Linked DNA regions of Oryzias latipes. Each later gene encodes a partner of the first gene's protein in a complex. Links are inferred from orthologs where the notes say so. Each region holds a gene or a part of one and is shown on either strand. Other genes may lie near its edges. The genes, in order: smarcd1, smarcc2, dpf1, smarcc1, pbrm1 and phf10.

Evidence for each region.
Region 2: smarcd1 (region 1) and smarcc2 share a complex: the UniProt entries of both Homo sapiens proteins name them as parts of the BAF complex. The link is inferred for Oryzias latipes from reciprocal best matches to the Homo sapiens genes SMARCD1 and SMARCC2.
Region 3: smarcd1 (region 1) and dpf1 share a complex: the UniProt entries of both Homo sapiens proteins name them as parts of the neuron-specific chromatin remodeling complex. The link is inferred for Oryzias latipes from reciprocal best matches to the Homo sapiens genes SMARCD1 and DPF1.
Region 4: smarcd1 (region 1) and smarcc1 share a complex: the UniProt entries of both Homo sapiens proteins name them as parts of the BAF complex. The link is inferred for Oryzias latipes from reciprocal best matches to the Homo sapiens genes SMARCD1 and SMARCC1.
Region 5: smarcd1 (region 1) and pbrm1 share a complex: the UniProt entries of both Homo sapiens proteins name them as parts of the SWI/SNF-B (PBAF) chromatin remodeling complex. The link is inferred for Oryzias latipes from reciprocal best matches to the Homo sapiens genes SMARCD1 and PBRM1.
Region 6: smarcd1 (region 1) and phf10 share a complex: the UniProt entries of both Homo sapiens proteins name them as parts of the neural progenitors-specific chromatin remodeling complex. The link is inferred for Oryzias latipes from reciprocal best matches to the Homo sapiens genes SMARCD1 and PHF10.

What each region holds. Positions count from the first base shown.
Region 1 is NC_019863.2:13,904,112-13,908,349, reverse strand, and holds the start of smarcd1 (SWI/SNF-related matrix-associated actin-dependent regulator of chromatin subfamily D member 1), read left to right. Parts: upstream 1-1,438; 5' UTR 1,439-1,474; coding exon 1,475-1,657; intron 1,658-4,238. UniProt on the Homo sapiens protein: Involved in transcriptional activation and repression of select genes by chromatin remodeling (alteration of DNA-nucleosome topology).
Region 2 is NC_019863.2:4,293,630-4,297,129, reverse strand, and holds part of smarcc2 (SWI/SNF complex subunit SMARCC2), read left to right. Parts: intron 1-11; coding exon 12-74; intron 75-210; coding exon 211-469; intron 470-550; coding exon 551-864; intron 865-939; coding exon 940-1,060; intron 1,061-1,142; coding exon 1,143-1,306; intron 1,307-1,377; coding exon 1,378-1,512; intron 1,513-1,584; coding exon 1,585-1,942; intron 1,943-3,500. UniProt on the Homo sapiens protein: Involved in transcriptional activation and repression of select genes by chromatin remodeling (alteration of DNA-nucleosome topology).
Region 3 is NC_019871.2:18,145,050-18,148,549, reverse strand, and holds part of dpf1 (zinc finger protein neuro-d4), read right to left. Parts: coding exon 3,441-3,500; intron 2,631-3,440; coding exon 2,523-2,630; intron 1,802-2,522; coding exon 1,674-1,801; intron 794-1,673; coding exon 704-793; intron 1-703. UniProt on the Homo sapiens protein: May have an important role in developing neurons by participating in regulation of cell survival, possibly as a neurospecific transcription factor. Belongs to the neuron-specific chromatin remodeling complex (nBAF complex).
Region 4 is NC_019874.2:27,730,777-27,734,276, reverse strand, and holds part of smarcc1 (SWI/SNF complex subunit SMARCC1), read left to right. Parts: intron 1-1,795; coding exon 1,796-2,174; intron 2,175-2,279; coding exon 2,280-2,405; intron 2,406-3,500. UniProt on the Homo sapiens protein: Involved in transcriptional activation and repression of select genes by chromatin remodeling (alteration of DNA-nucleosome topology).
Region 5 is NC_019863.2:2,544,331-2,547,830, forward strand, and holds part of pbrm1 (protein polybromo-1), read left to right. Parts: intron 1-739; coding exon 740-897; intron 898-993; coding exon 994-1,177; intron 1,178-1,589; coding exon 1,590-1,785; intron 1,786-1,871; coding exon 1,872-2,073; intron 2,074-2,161; coding exon 2,162-2,314; intron 2,315-3,500. UniProt on the Homo sapiens protein: Involved in transcriptional activation and repression of select genes by chromatin remodeling (alteration of DNA-nucleosome topology). Required for the stability of the SWI/SNF chromatin remodeling complex SWI/SNF-B (PBAF).
Region 6 is NC_019861.2:24,495,952-24,499,979, reverse strand, and holds the start of phf10 (PHD finger protein 10), read left to right. Parts: upstream 1-1,228; 5' UTR 1,229-1,323; coding exon 1,324-1,398; intron 1,399-2,755; coding exon 2,756-2,865; intron 2,866-2,973; coding exon 2,974-3,104; intron 3,105-3,223; coding exon 3,224-3,307; intron 3,308-3,402; coding exon 3,403-3,527; intron 3,528-3,618; coding exon 3,619-3,768; intron 3,769-3,869; coding exon 3,870-3,979; intron 3,980-4,028. Other genes in the region: rab4a (ras-related protein Rab-4A), read right to left, coding at 112-192, 804-819. UniProt on the Homo sapiens protein: Involved in transcription activity regulation by chromatin remodeling. Belongs to the neural progenitors-specific chromatin remodeling complex (npBAF complex) and is required for the proliferation of neural progenitors.

The DNA.
Region 1 (4,238 bases):
ATTTTCCCAATGGGCTTTTCATATTCTAACTGGATTTATTTTAATTGTGTAATATTCTTAATCATTCCTCCATGTTATTCCACAACTTCACCCAAAAGCAAAAATGCACATCGTTTTTTGTGTTGTCCTTACACAAGGTTGTTTGATGTCATTTTTCTTTCTGCAGTACAAAAGAAGTAAAGACCCATGAAATTAGGTTTACTCTGATTCTCGTATATACTAGCAGAAAACAGAAAGCCCAAACAAACAGGCATCACAAAATACCAGGTGTTGTGTTGTTGAAAAGAAAATATTTTCTACTCCAGATATTGTGTTTATCTCAACATAGTCAAGTTCTGGACTTGTAGAGACAAAAAGTGTCACATGTTACTTAGCAAAATGATGGAAAGAAACAATCCTGTAGCTGAAAACGTCATCATCAAGATTTCTATTTTATAAAACCTTCTAAAAACATTCAGAAATAACCTGCAAATATGTACACAAATAGAAGTTAGTTAAAAACATACATGATTGTTTTTTTAAAGGATATGATACAAAAATATGAATAGTTACATTAATAAAAATCAAATGATTTTCTCATTTGCAAAACAGTCATATATTATGAAAAATGAAAAATATCAGCAATCCACTGTTGAACCAATTGATTTTGTACTGTAGCCTAAATTAAAATGAAAACTTTTATTTTTAAATGTGTTCTTTAAAAGTTAATAATGTTTTGGGGCATTTTGTTTTGCTCTAAGTTTTATTTTGTTCGATAAGAGAAAATTGAAAAACAATGTATTCTGTTTTGATAAATGAAAGACATATAGAAGGCAATAGAACAGATTAGTGAATTCACATGAAAAGAAAGAAGACAATTTAATAGCGTCCTAAATTACTCCAATATGGTTGGCCTACCCGTTGACTTTATTCTTGTGCATATAATCATGTAAATTGAATGCTGGTTGTTAGGACTTGTCAGGACTGTATTACTCCAGCTAATTAAAATGTTCTTTCTTTTTTTATTTTAATTGTTTTATTTTCTACAGACCAGACAGATTTTTTCGTGTTTTTAATATATATTTTAAACTATATATGAATAATATTAATACATATACATGTATATATTGATATATATTAATACATATTTTAAACTACATGAACTATACTTTTATAGTTTTTCTTGTAGTTTTCATGAGTAGCTGCCCAGCCTGTTTGTTGTTTTTTGCTCTTGTATTTAAAAAAAATAGCACGAAAAACAAAACAAAAAAACTTCACGAAAAATACTAAAATATTATAAAGGAACATACTAAATGTTTTTTTTAAGAAATAGCCTATATTACGCCTTCATACCCCACAATTATCCTTTGTCTCTTAATGTGGGCAATCGTGCAGTGTCAAAAGAGAACAGTAGAGGGCGCTATCGCAAAGTGAACGCCTCAGTTGCTCTCGCGTTAGTTCCTTTGCTCCACCGGAGGCGACATCTAGTGAGGAGATGGCGTCCAGAGGGGGGTTTCAGTCTGCACCGACTGGTGGTGGTGGAGCTGTTGGACCTGGACAACCTGTACCCGGTGCTGGACCAGGCATGGGACCCGGGACTCCCACTGGAAGAATGGGTCCATCTTCGGCTGGTCAGAACCACATGTACCGATCTCCAATGCCTGGGCCTGGGTACCCGGTGAGTTATCACTCCATCTTTGCGTCAATGCTAGCCGGTCCGCTAGTAGAACAAAGCCACTCATCGCTGCTTTGTCGCCAATGGCTAACATTAACCCCCGTCCCCCTACAGGCCCAGTTCAATAGAACTTAAGAAACCCATTAAAAGTAATCGACTTTTAATAAATATTTTTTTCGAGCGCTCTGGCGGACTTTTATGAGTTTATCATGTTTGAATTTGCTAAACCTCCCGCTCGCTAACAGAAGGTTAGCTTACATGAAACTGTGCTACCTCGCCTGCTAACGCTAACTAGTAACTAGTTACTGTGTTACGCTCGTCGTAGTTCTCTAGTTACTGATTGTGTGGAGTTAACTGGCATATACAGATTGATTAAATCTATCAACTTTTATGAATACGTCTCGTTTTGACGGGATCCATTGATTTCCTCTGGGAAATCTGAAAGTAAAAAGTCCGCCTCTCAGGAACCGTACTCTGCGAAAACATCTGGCTGCTACCGTCATGTGAGTCTAAATTCAAATTTGCTGAAAGGTAATTTCCGAAAACCCGCTTGTATTTGTCGCGTCTCTCTTTGCTGACGTTTAAAAATTGGCATTTGATTTGACTTCTACTTAACGGAACCATTGAGTTTTTGGTCAGGTTTTAGGTGTAACTCCGCCGTCGAGAACTTCTACTTGTTAATAATACAACGCTTGGTAATGTTTTGCTATTAAAGTACACGCAACATAGTTTACTCATACATTGCAGTTGTTAAACTTAAAAAGGGGGGGGGGGGGGGGGCATGGTAAACTTAAAAGTCCACCCACCTACCTACCAACCTGAATTAATTTTTTTAAAATAAAGACATGCACCCAATTTTGAGAGGAGTCTTCATACTTTTAACCAATTACAAATGAGGTAAACTCAGAATTTACTTGAGGGCATGATAAATATTTTTAGAAATTGAAGATCTTAACCTTGAAAAACTTCAAAAAATGTTTTATTTTTATAAACTAGCAGGGAATGGAGAAGTATCTTATTTATAAATCTATCAAGATCGTTTGATTCTTAATTGATGGAAAGGTGGGTGGTGATGTCATTGTCTGTATAAGAGAACTGGACTGAGCGAGTCTGACGTCACCCGTAGAAAGAAAAAAAAAACGCCTTACTTTCAGCTCCAGCAAAATGAATCCATCAGTCGCTGTTAGATCTGCAGTACACTCATCCCCATGTTGGAGCCAGACCACCTAAGTAAACGGTGATGAGCCTGCGTCTGTAGGAGTCGACGCTTCTATGGCAACTCCTGTCGCCAATCAGGATTAAGCTTTTATCTTAGTCCACATCTCTGCCACTGAAAGCAGGCTCAGGAGAGTCTGTCAATTAAACATTTCAATCATTAGAGGCGGGGTTTACACACGTTCGAGCAGGTACTTCCTATTTGACATCCGGGGTGGGGGTGGGGGGTCACTTAGTCCAGTTCTATTAGGCGGGGATGTTTTGGTGGAAACAAATTGTGGAACTTGAGGGGAAAGTAACATGGCAGTGAAAAATGATGAGGGAAGTGAGCTGTTAGTGGCGGGCTAACATAAATTAAAATGGAACGTGGAAGTACAGCTAGCTAGTTTGGTGATTCAAATTTTAGTGTGGAGTAGTGTACGCAGCAACCTTTGTCACCGTTTTCAAGAAGTTTAACATTAATGCTAAAGATGTTTGTTGTGTTGAAACAGACTAAGAGAAAGAGTTTACATTTCTGCAGTTCTTTTAGGGTTTTAAAAGTGTCCTAGATGTTCAGACTTCATATTTACAATACCTAGACCAAATCCAAGTTCTTCCCCCACTTCTACTTCTCCCTACACCTACAGTTAGCCCTCCAAATGGAGTGTCATATAAAAATAGTCATTTAGACGTCACTCTGACTCGATGAGGTCATCAATCGTCGTCGGTCAGCCACGTTAGCGGGTGGCGATCAGAAGTAAATAACGTGGGTTTTAGAACATTAAAAAGCCATGCTAAAACAAAAAGTATTTACTTACATTTACGTGTAAACTTCTGTGCTTCAAGGCACACCCACTTGCAGAGATACGTTTCTCTTTTGCGGCACAGAACATGCGGAACACCTTTGCGTTGGAGGGCTCCGTATCCCTCCGCGCAGTGAAGGTTTTCCATTCCAAAAACTAACACCCCTACCCCCAAATGCCCCTACAATTGGAGGGAAAGAGAGAAGCTGGAGGGGTAGGGGAAGAATTTGGATTGAACCCTAGTGGGTTTATGTTGAAGTCTGTTTATCTAAAAGACTTTCGATGAAAAAATGTTTTTCACTAAGGCAGTGATTTGGCTACAGTTGTTTATTTTTGTGATTTAAAGACCAATCCCACTAAAGGATACTGTTGACTGTTCCATCTAGGCCTTCACGATAAATGGCAAATTTCTCGTTATCGCGATATCAAGCTGTGCAATCCGCATATAGCAAAAGACAGCGAAAATCGCAATAAATTGTTACTTTAAATGTGCTAAAACAATCTTATGACAGCTTGTAATTATTTAGCAAATCAAATAAATCTATTTATGGATGAAGCCTTTTTGTTAGAAGCTCGCCTCCCATGAA
Region 2 (3,500 bases), about 9.6 Mb from region 1:
TTTGTGTGAAGAGCAAGAGTGCAGCGAGTTCCATGAGGGAGTGGACAGAACAAGAAACGCTACTACTCCTTGAGGTAAAACATGTCTCACGTTCATTGTTGTGGCTGTGATTTCCTGTTTTTTCCTGCTAAAACTGTGAGACATTGTGTTATGACTCTTTACTAGTAGGACAGCTGAGATGGCGCTAAATCACGTCCTCCTTTCTGTCAGGGTTTGGAGATGTACAAGGATGACTGGAACAAAGTGTCTGAACACGTGGGCAGCCGTACACAGGACGAGTGCATTCTGCACTTCCTGCGGCTGCCCATTGAAGATCCATACTTGGAGGACAGCTCCTCATCGATGGGCCCTCTGGCCTATCAGCCGGTACCCTTCAGCCAAGCAGGAAACCCCGTCATGAGCACTGTGGCCTTCCTCGCCTCTGTTGTTGACCCACGTGTGGCGTCCGCTGCGGCCAAGTCGGCTCTCGGTGACGCATTGATTCTACATGCACTGGTGATGCTTGACTAACGTTCTCCACATTTACAAGCATGAACTTCCTCCCTTTCAGAGGAATTCTCTCGGATGAAGGAGGAAGTTCCTGCTGCGCTTGTTGAGGCCCACGTACGGCGGGTGGAGGAAGCGGCGAGGGTCAGTGGCCGACAGGATCCGCTCTATGGTTTGGAAGGTAGCGGCATCGCAGGAACTGGCTTGGAGGAAGGAGAGCGTCCTGGTAGGTTTGAATCCACTGCATTCAAACTGCACAACACAGAAACCCTACGAGTGCAGCGACATTTAACTGCTGGACTTGTCTTCCCCTCAGAGGAAAGCAACGATGAAAGCAAAAATGACAACCAGTCAAATGAAGAGAAGAAAGAGGCCAAAGTATGTTGCATAGTTTAAAGTGGTGGAATTCAATTTGGGTAGGCATGTCTTAATCTGGGTTGGTTCACAACACAGGACAGCAAAGAAGGAACGATGGTGGAAGAGGAGAAGCATACAGAGAATGAGAAGAAGGAAGAAGAGAAAGGAAGAGAGGCTGAAGGAGACAGGGAAGGAGACAAGACAGAGGCGGAAATAGGTGTGAAACGATTTCTTCATGGACGGAGAAAACTGAGTTTTTCTCCAAGTTGAAAGATAAAAACCATTTTTTTTTCTTCCAGGCAATGAGGAGAAGGAAAAAGACAGAAAAGAGGAAACAGAAGAGGGACAAAGAGAAGGAGAGAGTGATGGAGAAAGAAAGGCGAAAGTGGAACGGGATGTAGGAGAAGGAAACCTGGCGACTGCTGCCGCCTCTGCTTTAGCAGCTGCTGCTGTCAAAGCCAAGGTGAAGTGAACTTCATTTCATCGCCTTCAGCCACTTCTACAACATCTGATTCTTAATCACCTATTTTCCAGCATTTAGCCGCAGTGGAAGAGAGGAAGATCAAATCCTTGGTGGCTCTGCTGGTGGAGACCCAAATGAAGAAGCTTGAGATTAAACTACGACATTTTGAAGAACTGGAAACCATTATGGACAGAGAGAGGGAGGCTGTGAGTCAGACTGGCAGAAGATCAGATCACTGAAGAAGTCCCAGTCTTAGTGTGTTCTTCCTCTGTTTGCAGCTGGAGTACCAGCGGCAGCAGCTGCTCGCCGACCGCCAGTCCTTCCACATGGAGCAGCTGAAGTACGCAGAAATGAGAGCGCGTCAGCAGCACTTCCAGCAGATTCAGCACCAGCAGCACAGCCAAGCTGGGGGCCCCCACACCAACCAGGCTGCCCCGGGCCAGCCTCCACAAAACATTACTTCAAGTCAGCAAGCTTCCAGCACACCAGCACCGCAGGCAGCCCCTAGTCCTGCACCACCAGCATCTGCAGCCGCGGCCCCTGAGTCCCAACCACATCCAGGGGCCCACACCTCTCCGCCCTGCCCACCTGGTCAGGTCCCAGCCGCCCACTCCAGCACTACACCTGCACTCAACGGTGAGTTCAGAATGAAAGCAGTGACAGGACGCTCTGAGCCTTCAAAAAAAACTACAGTAATGTTTCCCATCATGCAACTGTCTGATGACATCATGATCCAGTTTTAATAGGAAAGGCCTCCTATTTTATGGTAAAGGCTAAATCATTATTTTATTATTAAAATGACAAGTACTGGGTTTGAGAACATTTCTACTCAAATGGAATCGATTTTTTTTATAATGTGCACCAGATCAATAATCTTTTTAGAAAATTTCTAGGTATTTTATGTTAAACTGTTCCTTCCTAGTAGTTTTTAATGTAGGACACCAACCTTTTCACTAACATTTAGTTGCACCTTTTCGGTTACAGTGACTAGTTTTTTTCAAAATCTAAAATTTTTTAAAAAGAAAATTTGACAAAGGATTCATTTAATTGAATTGCTTTAAATAAAAAATCAATTAACTCGATTGATTAGAACTGACATGGATGAACTGTGGTGACTTGTGTAAACAGTGAGCTGCTGAAAGGATTTTTAAACCAAAAAAGTCAAAAACCAGAGTATATATAAAAAATATATAAATATATTTTAACAATCTGCAAAGTCAAACGTGATGTGTCAGACCGAACACAGCCGGCTGAGCTACTACACTCAGGAGATGTTAACATGCAGTGTTAAAAAGATTTAAAAACATCAAAGTCCCAAAGCTTACTCATTCACACAGGTTTTTGCTTTTCGTTGCTTGGTACCAATGACTGTATCCAAGAACTGGACTCAGTCAGTGTTATGTCACTCACAGAAAATGGTTTACTTTCAATTACAATCAAATTAAGTTAATTTTGTCACCGTTCTTTTGGTATATGCACGTTGGCATGTTGGAACCAGATAATCTCAGTAAGCAGTGATTGGATGTTTCTATGGCAAACACTTTCACCATTCAGGATTGAACTTGTTGGAAGTCCACTTAAAGTGGGCGTGAAAGAATCTGTAAAGTAAACATTTCAAATGTTCAACAGAAGACTATATACTTAATTTGATGCAAGGCCACATAGTTATCTGATTGATCAATTAATAACTTGACTAACTCGAACTACGGAATAATATCATCAGGGCTCCAGACTAACTTTTTTCACTAGGAGCACAGTGGCCCCCAACTGAAAGTTTTAGGGGCACAACCAGAAAATTTAGGGGCGCATACCGTAAATCAACATGCTAACCAAATATATTAATTTCCACTGTATTACTAATAAATACTTTAATAATAGATGCAGAAATTACAATGTGCTGTTTCAAATTCAGTGTCACATTTTATTCTGCCCTTTTGAAGATGCAACAAGAAGGTAAACTGACAGCACCATCGCTGTCATGACGGTACAAATAAGTAAAGAAAACGGATGGAAATTTATCTTGGTGACACCAAATAGGTGCAGCCAAGATGCACAATAAGCATGTTTGAGATCACCCAGATGGACTCAACGCTGCACAGATCACCTGGTGTGTGACGTATATTTTTGTTTTTGCTCCAACATCACCTGTCAATCAAAACAAAAATATCACGAGAAAGGGGTGGGAGCAAGGCCC
Region 3 (3,500 bases), on another chromosome or scaffold:
TGCCACTGAGTCTTTCACACGCTCTCTGAAGAAAATGAACATAACAGAACAGACCTCGCTTTTGTTTTCACGTGTCTTCATGCACGCACGCACACACACACACACAGCAGAACAGCATGCACGTTTGCATTCTAATCATCTGCTCTCAGTGTAAAGCTCCACTTCCAGCAGGAGGGGGCTGATGACACCTAGCAGGGGAGCAACAGTTCCAATTAGCGACCCTGGTGTCTGAGCTGGTGTGTGTCTGTGCGTCTGTGTGTGTTTCCTGTGTTGTGTGTAGGAGGATTTTCAGAATACATTGTTAACACTTGATTATCCGCCCATAGGATGCACAAAAAGAATCTGTGCATGTGTGTGTACGGGGGGGGGGGGGATCTCTGTCTAATCAAATTCTCTCCAAAAGAATAAAAAAACAAAAGTTTCTGAGTACATAGTTTAATATCGATGAGTGTGTATGTTCACTTTAAAAAGTGTTGCTTTGCCAGATGCTGTCTGATTGTGACCACATGCCATGCTGGCTTCAAGACGCACAACTGTGTCGCTCTGAGACACACTAACAGAAAGGTTTTCACTTCCTGACACGCAACTGCTTGATCTTTGACGAGATTTCACAGATTGAACTTGTGAACAGGCTCTGGTTTGGAAAAGGCCATTATAGTTTCATAGTACAAAAGAAAAAAATAAAGGTCTGTTGCCAGCGTACCCGTCCTTTGGTACGATTCTTGCGCTTTGGAACATCTTCCTCCATCTCGTCCACCTCCAGTTCATGAGGGAAATCTCCAACCAGCAGCTTCTATGACACAGAGACAGACTGACGGTTTGGTTTGGTCATTTTAGAGCTCCACAATATGAAAATAACTTGAAATATGCAATATTAGTGATAAATACTACAATACTGATCTGACTAGTGATACATAAACAAAAAAACATTTAATACATAATTTCCATTTTACTGCACCAGTTTTAATTAATAAAAGTCAACATAACTTAAAATACACAACAAGTTAACTCACTAGGAGGCAAGTAAGAACTTGCATATTGGTGAAACACACCAAAGAACAATGATCTACATTTCTGGTTGTAGGCCTAATGGCTAAAACTAATTTAGACAACAATTAAGAGAAATGTCTATGAAGACTCTCATTCATCCAGGTAGATTCAATCAGTAGGTTTAAAGGTTGTCATCTGGACTTGGTTTTTTAAAGTTGAAGACGTTTCACCTCTGTTTCAGCTCTTATCCAAAAGGCTTACAAAGCCTTTTGGATAAGAGCTGAAACACCCAGTGAGGGTCCTTGGGCAAGTTTCTTAACGCTACTGCCTCCCGAGCGCGGTTCGGCTGCAACTCACCACTCCCCCAGGGGATGGGTCAAATGCAGAGAAGAATTTCCCCATTGTGGGATTAATAAAGTATCAATTATTATTATTATTAAACACTAACATCTACAAGATTAAACCCAGAATTTGCATGTTAATTTAAACCAAATTAAATTAAAAAAACATTTTAAAGAAGTTGGTTGATGAAGCCCCTTATTTGGAATGACAGGGAGAGCACATGTTTGACAGGATTTTTCCACCGCCTATGAGCTTTCAGATGACAAAATTTAACATTCTGCCAGTTCCCGAAAACACAAAACAGCAGATGTAAAAAAAACAAACGTGAAGAAAGGCCTCACCTGACATTCACTCATCGGCTCTTCCTCCTTGGTTTCCACCTTCTTGTCCAGGGTTTCCCCAGCAAGCAGTGACTCCAAAACAGGACCATCTGGGATCCCCCCCTCCTTCTTTAAAGAGGCTTCATAGTCTGAAAACAAACAGCAGCAATCTCAGTGTTATGGAGAATGGCTAAAGGAAAAGGAAGCAACAAGAATAGCAGCGTCTGCAACATCCAGAGGCTGGACTCACTTGGAACACCAAAGCTAAGGTTAAACAGTACCAAGCTTAAAAAGAATGTTGGTGATCATTTCATGATGGCTGAGCAGATGGGTTCCAGCATGCACGAATACGAACATGAACATTTGTCTGTGCAGCAAACATGTCTGAGGTAAAACTAAAACATGGGAAAACTCCAGCACAACTGGAGATCTCTGAAATACTAAAATGTTTATATTTGAGTGAAAGCAATAAAGTCCTTCTAGTGAGAATCCAACTATATTTCTGTCTGCTGAGTATTTGCACCAAAAAACCTTCACACAAAAACAAGTTTTCAACTTTGATGCAAAACTTTTCAGTTGCATTTTATGATCTGACCCACACAGACTAGTCCTGCTCATGCCTGGAAACCAAAATGTTCTGCTGTGAGACTGAAGCAGGTGACGGTCCAGACAAACCACAACGAGTCACAGGAGTCCAGAGATCTCTAAACTCTGGTCTTCTGGATGATGTTTCTGAGTGCCTCGTGTTCATGAGAAACTTCTCCAAGACATGCAACACTGACATCAGAAGACAGATGCTCTTCTTTCTTCAGATTCAGGTGATAAGGATAGAAACCCATGACTTGATGTACTGTTTTTCCAAACACTCACCAATCTTAAACTCTATAGGAACAAGCCGAGGGTCCTCCAAGATGTTTAGCCGTCTCTTCTTGCGCCAGCAGCGAGCTGGATATGTGTAAAGCTGACCCGGGGCGTGACCTGAGCGTAAGACACAGAAAAACAGAGAAAAAACACAATTCAGGCCCTCCCCTCAGAATACTCCGGGTGACATCAGAATATTGCCCCAGTGCACACGTCTGTTAGTAAATAGCAAATTTCACTGGGAGACAATTGCACAAATTATTGTTGTTCCACACACAACAGTTGCTCATTTTTATAAAAATTTCTTGGAGTTGTGTGTTTCCAGCCTCCAATTAACTGTTGGAGTGCACTGAGGTCCAAGCCTGATCCTGTGATTCCAAGAAAGCTCTTTTGTGGTCAAATCAGGAAAATAACAGAGAAGCATATTAATCATTTTAAGATAAATGCATTCGTGTTTGTCCTTGTTATTTTTAACCAGGCCTTAATTTCACATCATCTTTTGTGAGTTAAATAGGACATTGCTTTTCACACACCAGTGTTGTGCTCATATTTCTGATGCATCTAGAGTTGATGGATTGTAGCTCCATGTGTCAAACAAACTAATATTGTTTCAGCAGCAAACACAGAGAGGCAGACTCCCGTGCATTTACTGCTATGCCAGTGGCATTTTGCTGCCTACAGAGCCATCTGAGTCTCTGCAGAAACACTCAGAAAGGGGAGGCAGAGGCACACATGCATGCACTTAGAGTTGTGGAGGATAGGAGGTCTGATGATGAGGAGGATGAAGACAGAAACTATCACAGGAAGAGATGAGGCGGGAGGACAAATTATTGTACAGAACTATTGTTGTTTACTAACAGCTTGGAAGCACAAACACATAAACAAATTCCCAAACATGCACACAAACACACAGACAGAGGCACACACCTGGCCCACGGTGGTTCTTCTCCATCCAGATATAACAGTTGCTTTGAGCCACGCCGGTCT
Region 4 (3,500 bases), on another chromosome or scaffold:
CACACTTTTAACCCTGCGGCTTATTCAATGATGCAGCTAATTTGTGCACTTTTTTCTAACGCCCGCTAGGGGCGCTCAAGCAGAAAAGGTAAGCGTGAGACGGGGGGATGCAAGATTAATGTAAATTCCCGCTTTGAGAATGAATAACACAAACAGATACTCACGGGGAATTCAAGAAGAACAGCAGTTGGATCTAGCTGTCAGTCATCTGAACTGTCACTCACATAACTGACTGCAATGGAAAGCTATCCAGAAACCATGCACCTTTTGACTCTGAAAAGTCTCAGGAGGAGTATATGGGCGAAGCTGAATGCATACTCTCATTTCCAGCATCAAGCAGATTTATTTAGACACACCCACAAGCAGCCAAACAGCATGAATGTCACTTCTGCTCTTTGACCCCTCAGTCACAGTGCAACAAAAAGAAACACCAATGCTCAGCCCTATTTTGGCCGCATCCCATAATCCCTTGCTGCTATTAGACCCAACAAGCACGTGACCGTCACTACAATATGACGCAGCTTTCAAGTTAAAAGCAATCGTTAAAGCAGTGTGAAAAAATCCACCATCACCAATGGGTTTAGAAAAGCCGGTCTGCTGCGTGACGGAAAGGACAGCGCAAGCTCAGGAGTGAATTTGCCTCAGGATAAGAGTGACACTGACAGCGACAACGAAGGAGACACTGAGAGAAGAATATCGAAGAATATCTGTGGCTATTCCAATCCAACACTGAGGAGGAAGACTGCCATGGTTTCAGTGCACAGGACAAAGATGAAGAAAGCTCTCAATGACTTTTACGTTCATGTTTTTTAAACCAGCCCTGTTACTACCATATTGCTGCTGTTCCGAAAGAAAAGCTTAGGTATACCATTAAAACTTTGAAAACTCTTTCTGTGTACCGTCTTTCTTTGTAAATATATCATGTGTTGAACCTTTCCTGCGATTACTTTTTTTTCTTTCTTTCTTCTCCGCCAAAGGTTGTTCACTTCCCCGTTAGGACCCTCAGAGCCTCCAGAGTGGGTTAATAAAGAATCATTCATCTTCTTCTGGGGGAAACCTTCATTTATCACCCCCAACACACTTGCTCTCACTCGGTGCATGCGCGCTCTCTCTTCCTTCCGCTGCACGCACTCCCTCCTCCTTCTCACACACGTGTGCGCGGTTTCAGCACATTCACATCCTCAATCTACAACACAGAGTGGTGACCCGGGGGTTAGCTCGCCTTCAGCCTCTTAGACTCATGGGAAGTGGGGAATCGTGGGTGGAAAGTTCCTCAACCATGACTGAGGGGGCTGTGAACAGAAGTGAGATCCATGCTGTTTGGCTGTTAGTGAGTGTGTTCAAATAAATCGGCTACAATGCCGGAAAGGACAATATGAAATCTGCGTTTGCAGCTCCCTTTCTGACACTGTACGACACGTGCAGAACAAAGACTACAACATGTTTATACGGGCGCATGCGCCTGATATACAGGTGCGGCTTGTGTGTGTGTGTGTATAAAACAGCTAACTGTTTGAAAATGTAAAGGGTGCAGCTTGTAATCTGGTCCGCTCTATCGCCCGGAATTTATGTTACATGTCTATTCTCATGTTTGCCTGAGAGAAGTGTCTAAAATGTATTGGGGAGTTTTACAGCCTGAAAACTAGAATCCTACTTGGTGGATTTCACCAGTTGCAGGTTATTAATGGAACGTATCCCCGGCCATAAATGAGGGACCACTGTACCTGGAAAGATCGTGTGTTGTTGCAGTGTGACATGTTGACTGTTGTTGTGATTCACTGCTCCTTCTTTGCAGTTGGAGCTTCAGCGGCAGCAGCTCCTCACAGAGCGACAGGCGTTCCACATGGAGCAGCTCAAGTACGCAGAGATGAAGGCACGCCAGCAGATGGAGCAGCAAGCTGCCGCTGCAGCCGCCGCCGCTGCTCAGGCCCAAGGGCAGGGACAACCCCCCGGTCCCGGACATCACCACGGGCCCCAGGGTCCTGGACCCCATTCTGGACCCCCTCCACCAGGCATGCACCCTGGAGGGCCTCCACCCCACCACGGAGCGCCTCCACCTCACCACGGAGCACCTCCACCCCATCTTGGAGGTCCTCCTGCTGCTGCAGCAATGCACCCTGGTTACCCGCCCATGGCTCACCACCCCATGGCCCCCCACCACCCTGGACCGACGGGTAAAGACAATGGTTTTCGGAAGAATCATCGAATTTCATTTTAGCTTTCTTCTTGTTCATAATGTGGCATTCCAATAAAGTGGCCTCGTCTTTTCCTCATTGTAGGACCGATGGGACCAGGTCAGCCAATGCCTGGGCGTATGATGTCCGGGCCACCGTCTGCCGGACCCCCTCCTGGGGGAATGCCTCCCATGATGCCTCCCCGTCACCCGGGAGCTCCCAACGGCATGTGTGAGTACCAAAGTCTTCTTCTATGTTTACATTGTTTTTCTAATTTCAAAAGGTATCGCCTTTTTTTTTCAGACTATTAGGTAAACATAGTTTTCTTTGTTTTTGGTGACAAACTCATCTGAACCTCTTTCCTGAGGGGAGGTGTCTTTAAAGCAAAAACCACAAAGCAAACCTGTTCAGGGAATTCACATCCGTCTGACTCGAAGCAGACAGCTGGTATTTACTCCAAATGTCAGCTAAACGCTGTTGTTTATTATTTTTGCACCAATGTGGTCAAACTTTTCATGTAGCAGGAAGTCGTGTTTCTGACAGCTGGGGTGCTGGTTTGGCTCCAGCTTTCATTCCAGAAATGTCTTAACTGATTCAGAAAAAAATGCCATCAACACATCATCCAGTGCTCCCAGTTATGATCAAGTTTGTTTACGTCAGGCTAGCTGACTGAGGTTAACCCAGGCGTGGGCAAACTGTGGCCCGCCCAGCTGAAATAAATTATACAGTTTATTAATGCCAATGTTTTATTTTCTGGTATCCCTATAGATGGTACACTACAAATAAATTGACCTTTGTTTTAGGTGCAGAAAGTTATTCTGCATTCATGTCGTGGTGGAAGATTTGGGGTTTTTGTTTTGTTCGTGTGTCATTTTTGTAATTCCAGTGGATTCCGATCAGAGAAAAGCAGATTTGTGCTGGAATGCTACACTTCGTATTGGTTAACATTTACGTCTACCAAGTATAAAGTTTACATTGATAGTGTCGACACTTCACTGCTGTACAATGTTGAGTTTTGGCTCAAAGCTTCAGCTTCAGAATCTTTTGGAATTACGTCAACTGTATAGAGTTACGGTAAATCAGAGAACAGCAACACTGTAGGTCAAGCTCTGGTGTTGAAGGTTACCTGAACTATTCCCTTGGATATAGGCATTGGCTAATGAATAAAAATGATTCTTTTAAGCGTTAAACGCTGGAGATGTCGCCAGCGTCACCTAAATAAACACACGCTCTTTAAACTGTAACTTCTTTGTAACCCTAACCGCATCTCTTCAACCATTTTAACGGATTCTGGTACGAAGAAAAGCAAATTTGCAAATTGGCTTC
Region 5 (3,500 bases), about 11 Mb from region 1:
AAAGATCCACTCCAACTAGCTACTGATCTATTCTTAAAGTGTTCCTGGTGATCTTATAATAATTGTTTATTTTAACCCCAATCAAAAAACTTTTTCTGTAGAGCGACAGTAGTTCATTAGAGGTTAGCCTATGAGTTGCAGGTGAGGTTGTTGGCATGGAGTAAGCCTCCCTTCATTTCCCATCATCGCTTTGTTCACACTCTCTCCCGCTAGCTCACAACCCCAACCTCACGTTACTGGTGCAACAAAAATGGTGAGCAGTCTCAGAGTTATCCAGCCGTGCAGTTTAGATCCAGATTCCAGCTCAGACGAGTAAAACAAAGACGTTCACGGATCCGTTTGTCTGACAGTGGATGCATCAGAATAGAGCAGAGCTGGGAGCTTGTGGCCGGCTGTTAATAGTTTCTGCGTAACAGCTACAAGCTTTTTTAAATGTCAATTTTTCGTCTGCCCCTGATTACAAACAATTTGAACAAAGAAATACTCAAATATGCTATTTTCATCTGAATTTTTCCTCCAACTTTAGAATAGTCCCATAAAACCGTGTTAAAAACACTAAAAACAACCTTTTTCATTGTAGTGGGTCTTTAAAGTTTTTGTACTCTATGCTCTGAAATATTACATAATGTTGTTTTATTTTGAAATGCAGATTGAAAGGACAAAGCTGCATCTGTTGAATCTTTCTGAAGCCATTTGAATTGTTTACTTTGGCACTTACTTTTCTTTATGTGTTCAACAGAATTGAGAAGATGTGGATCCGAGATGGAGCGGGTTACTTCTTTGGCCCAATTTTTATCCATCCTGAAGAGACGGAGCACGAACCCACCAAGATGTTCTACAAGAAGGAAGTGTTCCTTAGCAACCTGGAGGAGACTTGTCCAATGACCTGCATCATAGGTAGCCTTCTGCTGTGATTTGGAAGCATCTGCTCCAACGTGATGGTTTATTGTTTTGAAGATGCAGTCATTATCAGGCTATTCCTCCTCTTTGCAGGAAAGTGTGTCGTTTTGTCCTTCAAAGAGTTCCTGTCATGTCGGCCCACTGAAGTGCCCGAAGATGATGTTCTGCTTTGTGAGAGTCGCTACATTGAAAGTGAAAAACAGATGAAGAAGTTCAAGGGTCTGAAGCGTTTCTCGCTCTCTGGAAAGGTGGTAGAGGATGAAATCTATTATTTTAGGTGAACCTTTTTTTTTGGTGTGTTTTTAATTTGTTAATTTTAATCTAATTTATTTTCCTTTTATTCATTTTATTTATTTCAAACTGATAAATTAAAAAATAATCATAAACAGAGGTATAATGATAAATGATAAATGTGAAAAGTTCTAAAAGGACTTTGGATGAAGTTTGACAACTTGTTGAGTCCAAACTTACATTTATACAAACGATATTTGTAAAGAATTACAGGAAAATGGTGAACATAAGTGAACATTTTATGTATTATAAAATTTATACATTATATATTATTATATATATTCCAGTGTTTTTATGTTCACGAAAACAGCTTTTTCTCACCGTTTTAGTCCTCTAATTATTAGGTTTTGGTTTGAATTCTTGAGAGTGAATTCTTTTATGCGTTCGGTTTTGCACAGGAAGCTCATAGTTCCTCAGAAAGAACCCTCACCGCTGCTCAATCGGAAGATCGAGAAGCTGGAGGCTAAATTTGCTGACATGACCGATGAAGAACTTGAAGAACTTGGGGATGATGACGGCGAGCTGGGCGACCAGTCTCACATGCAGTCCTCCATGTCTGGTGACCTGGATCTGCTGTCCTACACGCCTCCACAGGTCAGAGTGAATCCGTGAAGGGGGGGAATGGTCTGTGTTTAGCGCTGTATCGTTTTTATGTGGCATTCTAACGTGCTTGGTTACAGTCCACCCCTAAATCCATAAAGGGGCTGTCAAAAAAGGAGGGATCGAAGCGAAAGATCAACATGAGTGGATACATCCTGTTCAGCAGCGAGATGCGGGCTGTCATCAAAGCTCAGCACCCAGACTTCTCCTTTGGGGAGTTGAGCCGGCTGGTTGGCACGGAGTGGAGGAACCTGGAGACTTCCAGGAAAGCAGAGTACGAGGGTAAGAGGATTTTCTTGCTGTGAAAAATTAATGCATCTTGTTTTTCTTGTCTTTTAAAGCCAACTCACTGTTTTTTGTTGCATTGCAGAGCGAGCAGCTAAAGTAGCAGAGCAGCAGGAGCGTGACAGGACCCAGCATCAGACCTTCCTTAAATCAGGTACCCCAGTAGGGGCACTGATGGGGGTGGTGCCTCCCCCGACCCCCATGGGATTGCTTAATCCTGGCATGACGCCTGTGTCAGGTAACCCCTCATAAATGCAGCAGACTCCGCAGTGTACATTTGAAAGCTGCAATCTGAAGCTAAACTGCCAGAACTGTTACTCTCCTTTTGTGTTGCATCCTCATCTTTTTTGCCTTCATACACCTGTGCTCAGGGGCGGCTCCAGGAGTTTTTCCTCTGCAGTAGCTTAGGGGTTGCTAAGTAATTGTGAGGAGCTTCTAATTCAATTTTTACGTAAAAATACATTTCCAAGAAGGAAAGTTGCTAATTAATACCAGATTGTTGTCTCGTCAATAGATTGCACTTGTAAAACGTGTTAACTGTCCTGAGAAAGAGACGGAGATGTTGAAGTGAGAAGGAAAACAAAATTTATTTAAGAGAAGCTGTTGACAGTCAATGGGGGTACCGCCATCAACTGACTCTCCTTCGCTAGATTACACCCATCATTTCTACAGTCAGTCAAAACAAAACCTTTTTTTAAATAAACTTTATTGCACATTATAGCATTTTACAAAAAAATCACATTTAGGTATGCAATAAGAACACAATTGCGAATATTAAATATACATCTGTATTGAAAAGAAAAAACAAGAATAGAAACAGAAATAAGCCAGGGGGTTAAACTTTACAAGAAAATGTTGAATCTTTTACACACAGATAAGGTTTTGATTGCTTTTTGCTTCTCAGAATTACAAATACTATTAATATACAGATTTAACTCTGAAAAGAATACAATTAAACAGGAATTTCAAACAGAGAATTAATATTTGTGAATATTATATTCGACCAAAATTAGCATAGATTTAAAAGTAAACCAGAGTTCTTTATTATATTCTTATTATTATTATTTGATATTAGACCCAACAAGACATCTTTTCAGAATAAAATAAAACAAGAAGTAATTTTGTCATGGATTAAATCACAAATCTTCTGCCAGAACAGTCAAAACAAAACGTAAAATAGCATTCTGGCTCTCATTCAATAAACTTTATTAGTAACAAATGAGGAACAAACGCAAGCTCTCGAGCGCCCTCTCTGTTGAGACAATGCTACTGCGTGCTTCATGGACTGTCTTCAGTCACATTTTAACACAAAATAAACGAGACAAACATTTAATAAGAAATGGAAAGGTGTGACGTGCAATAAAATTTGGTACAATGAACATTTTTTAAATAAAGTATTAGTATATATTTGGGGTTGCTTTGTC
Region 6 (4,028 bases), on another chromosome or scaffold:
TAACGACTGTCTTTGAGTGGGACCTTAAAGATATTTAAATAAAAGAGTCGGGCAATTACTGTGTCATTATTATAAAGCTTTTTCTAGTGATTACAACTGAAGCAAACTTACATCTCTTTTCTATGAACTGGTGCAGAAGGCAGGATTTGCCTGTTCCAGCATTTCCAATCACTAGGAATTTAAACAGAAAGTCTGCAGAGGGAACACAGTAGTAACATAGATAAAGCAAACAGGGTTTGAATATGCTGCCTTGTTATTAATAAACTCAACTATTCTTAATTTTTTTTTGATACAGTTGTTGACATGTACACATCTGATGTCTACACTATACAAATCAAGACAAATGTGTCGTAAACAGATCGAACAAAGCCTTATATATATATATTTATTCTTTACTCCCACTAAGATAATTATCATGTTTAATGTTGGTTCAATTGATTGAACAGTTGTAGCATAGTGTAATTTGAGCAATGCCTCACAAAACACAGAGATATCCTATCATCACTTGCGTTTGCAAAAGAAAAGCGGGAGTCTCTTGCTTTGTGTCCTAGTGCTTATCCCGGGAACAATAGCATCTCCTATAGTCACAGCTTCTTGCATTATAAAGCTTTACTAATACACCTGTACCCGGAAGGCAGATTTATTAACGCTGACATTTGAGTTTAAAGGCCAAAACCTTCCTACTCCTCAGTGGCTCGGTTAGCCTGCCAGCTAGCTATTTGTTTACGAAGGGACCTCATCATCCCTTTCCTGCCATCTGTGTGTGAGATTCTAACGGGTATAAAGCAAGACAGCCTCCTTACCGTAAGACTCCGACATCCTCGGTGTGTCAGCTAAGCTGCAAGGCAGAGAAAGGCGAAACTGTTATTTGTTTAGCTTGCTAAGTGATGGAAATAGTCCTGTTGGTGATTTCCTTGGATTCTATGATTTCCTCCTCCAACTTCCTGTACGGTGTGTGTGGGTTTTTTTTCTTCAAAATAAAAGCATTCTGAAATGACACTTATGCCACATAGTCCTCAAACTACCGCGTGGGGGTGATGTTTGGATATGTTCTTATGGTTTCAATTAATGAAAAATAAATTCTCGCCGTTCTAAGTAAATTTTAAAAACAGCCCATTTCGCTGAGAGTTTTATCTATATGTAAATTAATTGGTTTGCATGTTGTGTACAAATTCTCTCTTTTTAACATATTTTTTGGAGGATCTAGGAGGTGGCGCTCTGAATTTACACAAACGTCAACCGAGTCCGTGGTTGTCCAAAGAAGAAGAAACGTAGTTTCCCCCGCTAATCATTAGCCTAGCTGTGGGCATTATTTATCTTAAAATGGCTACATTATTCCCTATTATTAGACCACCAAGTGATAGCAGTCCCGCTACTCCTGGGGCGCACTCCATGAAGGTGATTTTTTTCTACTTTGATAAATATCCATTAGCTGTTGTTTACGGGGAAACATGACGATGTTTTGCTAACAGATAGCTAGCTAGCCAACGGACGTTTCCATTCACTAGGACAACTGTCAGCCACTTTTAGCAAAATCATTTGTTTTCAAATGTGCTCAAATTACTTCCTCTTGAAGTAATTTGCTCCTATTATTCGTGTATTTCTCTATTAGTTTGCAACGTTGAAAAAATATATAAATAAAAAAAAACTAGATTGTGTAGCCATTTAAATATAAAGTGTTGCTAATTTTTTCCCTGTGTAATCCTAGTCAAACTAGTTTTGCACATGTTCCCATTTTCACAATAATACGGAGCCCCTAAAGGGCCATTGATGAAAAAAAAAAAAACTTGAGGAAATTTTTTTTTTTTGAAGTAAAAAAAAATTCTTTGAGCTAAAAATTTTTTTTTTGAAGTAAATAGGAAAAAAAACTAACTGGTGCGCACCAGTTAGTTTCAGGTGCGCACCAGTTAGTATCAGGTGCGCACCAGTTAGTTTCAGGTGCGCACCAGTTAGTATCAGAAGATATCAGATAGTTGACCTGCTTGCTCATTGTGCACCAAGTAGCTACAGTTGTCTTGAGAATGGCTAAAGTTGAGGATATGGACCTTATAAACTTTCTGAAAACACGAAATATTACTGACAATGTCATAATGTCACCTGAAACTAATTGGTGCGCAGCTGAAACTAACTGGTGGGCACCTGATACTAACTGGTGCGCACCTGAAACTAACTGGTGGGCACCTGATACTAACTGGTGCGCACCTGAAACTAACTGGTGCGCACCTGAAACTAACTGGTGCGCACCTGATACTAACTGGTGCGCACCTGATACTAACTGGTGCGCACCTGAAACTAACTGGTGCGCACCTGATACTAACTGGTGCGCACCTGATACTAACTGGTGCGCACCTGATACTAACTGGTGCGCACCTGATACTAACTGGTGCGCACCTGATACTAACTGGTGCGCACCTGATACTAACTGGTGCGCACCTGAAACTAACTGGTGCGCACCTGATACTAACTGGTGTGCACCTGAAACTAACTAACTGGTGCGCACCAGTTAGTTTCAGGTGGGCACCAGTTAGTTTTTTTTTTCCTATTTACTTCAAAAAAAATTTTTTTTACTCCAAAAGAATTTTTTTTACTCCAAGAGAATTTTTTTTTACTTCAAAAAAAAAATTTTTTCCTCCATTTTTTTTTTTTCATCAATGGCCCTTTAGGGGCTCCGTACAATAAGCTTTTCGATTCTATATATTTTGGTGTTCATCTGTTTGAAAAAAAATGTTGGTGAATCTTTTTTCCACTTCTGTAGGAAGATGTAATTGATGAGGTATCTAATGATGGGAGCCAGCCACCGAAAAGGAGGAGAATGGGTTCAGGGGACAGCTCTCGGAGCTGTGACACCTTCAGCCAAGAGCTTGGGTAGGCTACTTGTTTTTGCATTACAATTTGCCATTATTCTTAAGTAATTGCGTCAGATACCAACTTATAAATCTAATGTGTTGTTCCTGCCCCCACCTCCTCATCTAGGGTGACTTATTTCCCAGCAGAAAACCTAATAGAGTATAAATGGCCTCCTGATGATACAGGAGAATATTACATGCTGCAAGAACAAATCAGCGAGTATTTGGGTGTCACGTCATTCAAACGCAAATATCCTGGTAAGAATTGAACAATAATTCACAAAATGATCAGGAAAGGAAATGTTTAAGTGCGGTTGATTTAGCAACTGCCCAAATTATGTTTTGACCAGGGAATTTTTTTTAACATTCTTGTGCAGATATGGAGAGGAGAGACCTGTCTCACAAAGAAAAGCTCTACCTACGTGAGCAAAATGTTATCACTGAGACGCAGTGCACCCTGGGTACGAGCCAACCCTAAAACTCTTTGTTAATGCACAGACTTCATACATTTATTTATATTTCTTACATAATGTAGTGCTGTTGTATTTATATGCAGGATTGACAGCTTTGCGGAGCGATGAAGTGATCGACTTGATGATAAAGGAGTATCCAACCAAACACTCTGAGTACTCTGTGATATTGCAGGAAAAGGAGCGTCAGAGAATAGCTAAGGAGTACTCTGTAAGAACACCAGACTAGAACAACCTTTAGTTTTTATTAGAAATTGTCGAAACGCACGAACAAATAGTTGTACTCTCTTGTGCTTTTGCAGCAAATGCAGCAGCAGAACCCTCAGAAAGTGGAGGCAAGCAAGGTTCCTGAGTACATAAAGAAAGCTGCAAAAAAAGCTGCTGAGTTTAACAGCATCTTCAACAGGGAGCGAATGGAAGAGAGGAGAGCTTACTTTGACCTCCAGACTCACGTAAGTCTAATGGCAGATGGTTTAATAAATCTGCATCAGTGCAACGTTGGTTGAGCTTTTGACTGATGCAACTCCTTTTTGTCCTCTGCTTTTTGTCTCAGGTTATTCAGGTGCCCCAGGGAAGGTTCAAAGTTCTTGCTCCAGAACTAACCAGAACAGGACCCTACCCTGTTGCTCTTATCCCAGGTCAATTCCAAGATTACTATAAAAGGTACGTTCCATAACTGTTAGCTCTTCGTAAGTGACAGTAGTCTCTCAGT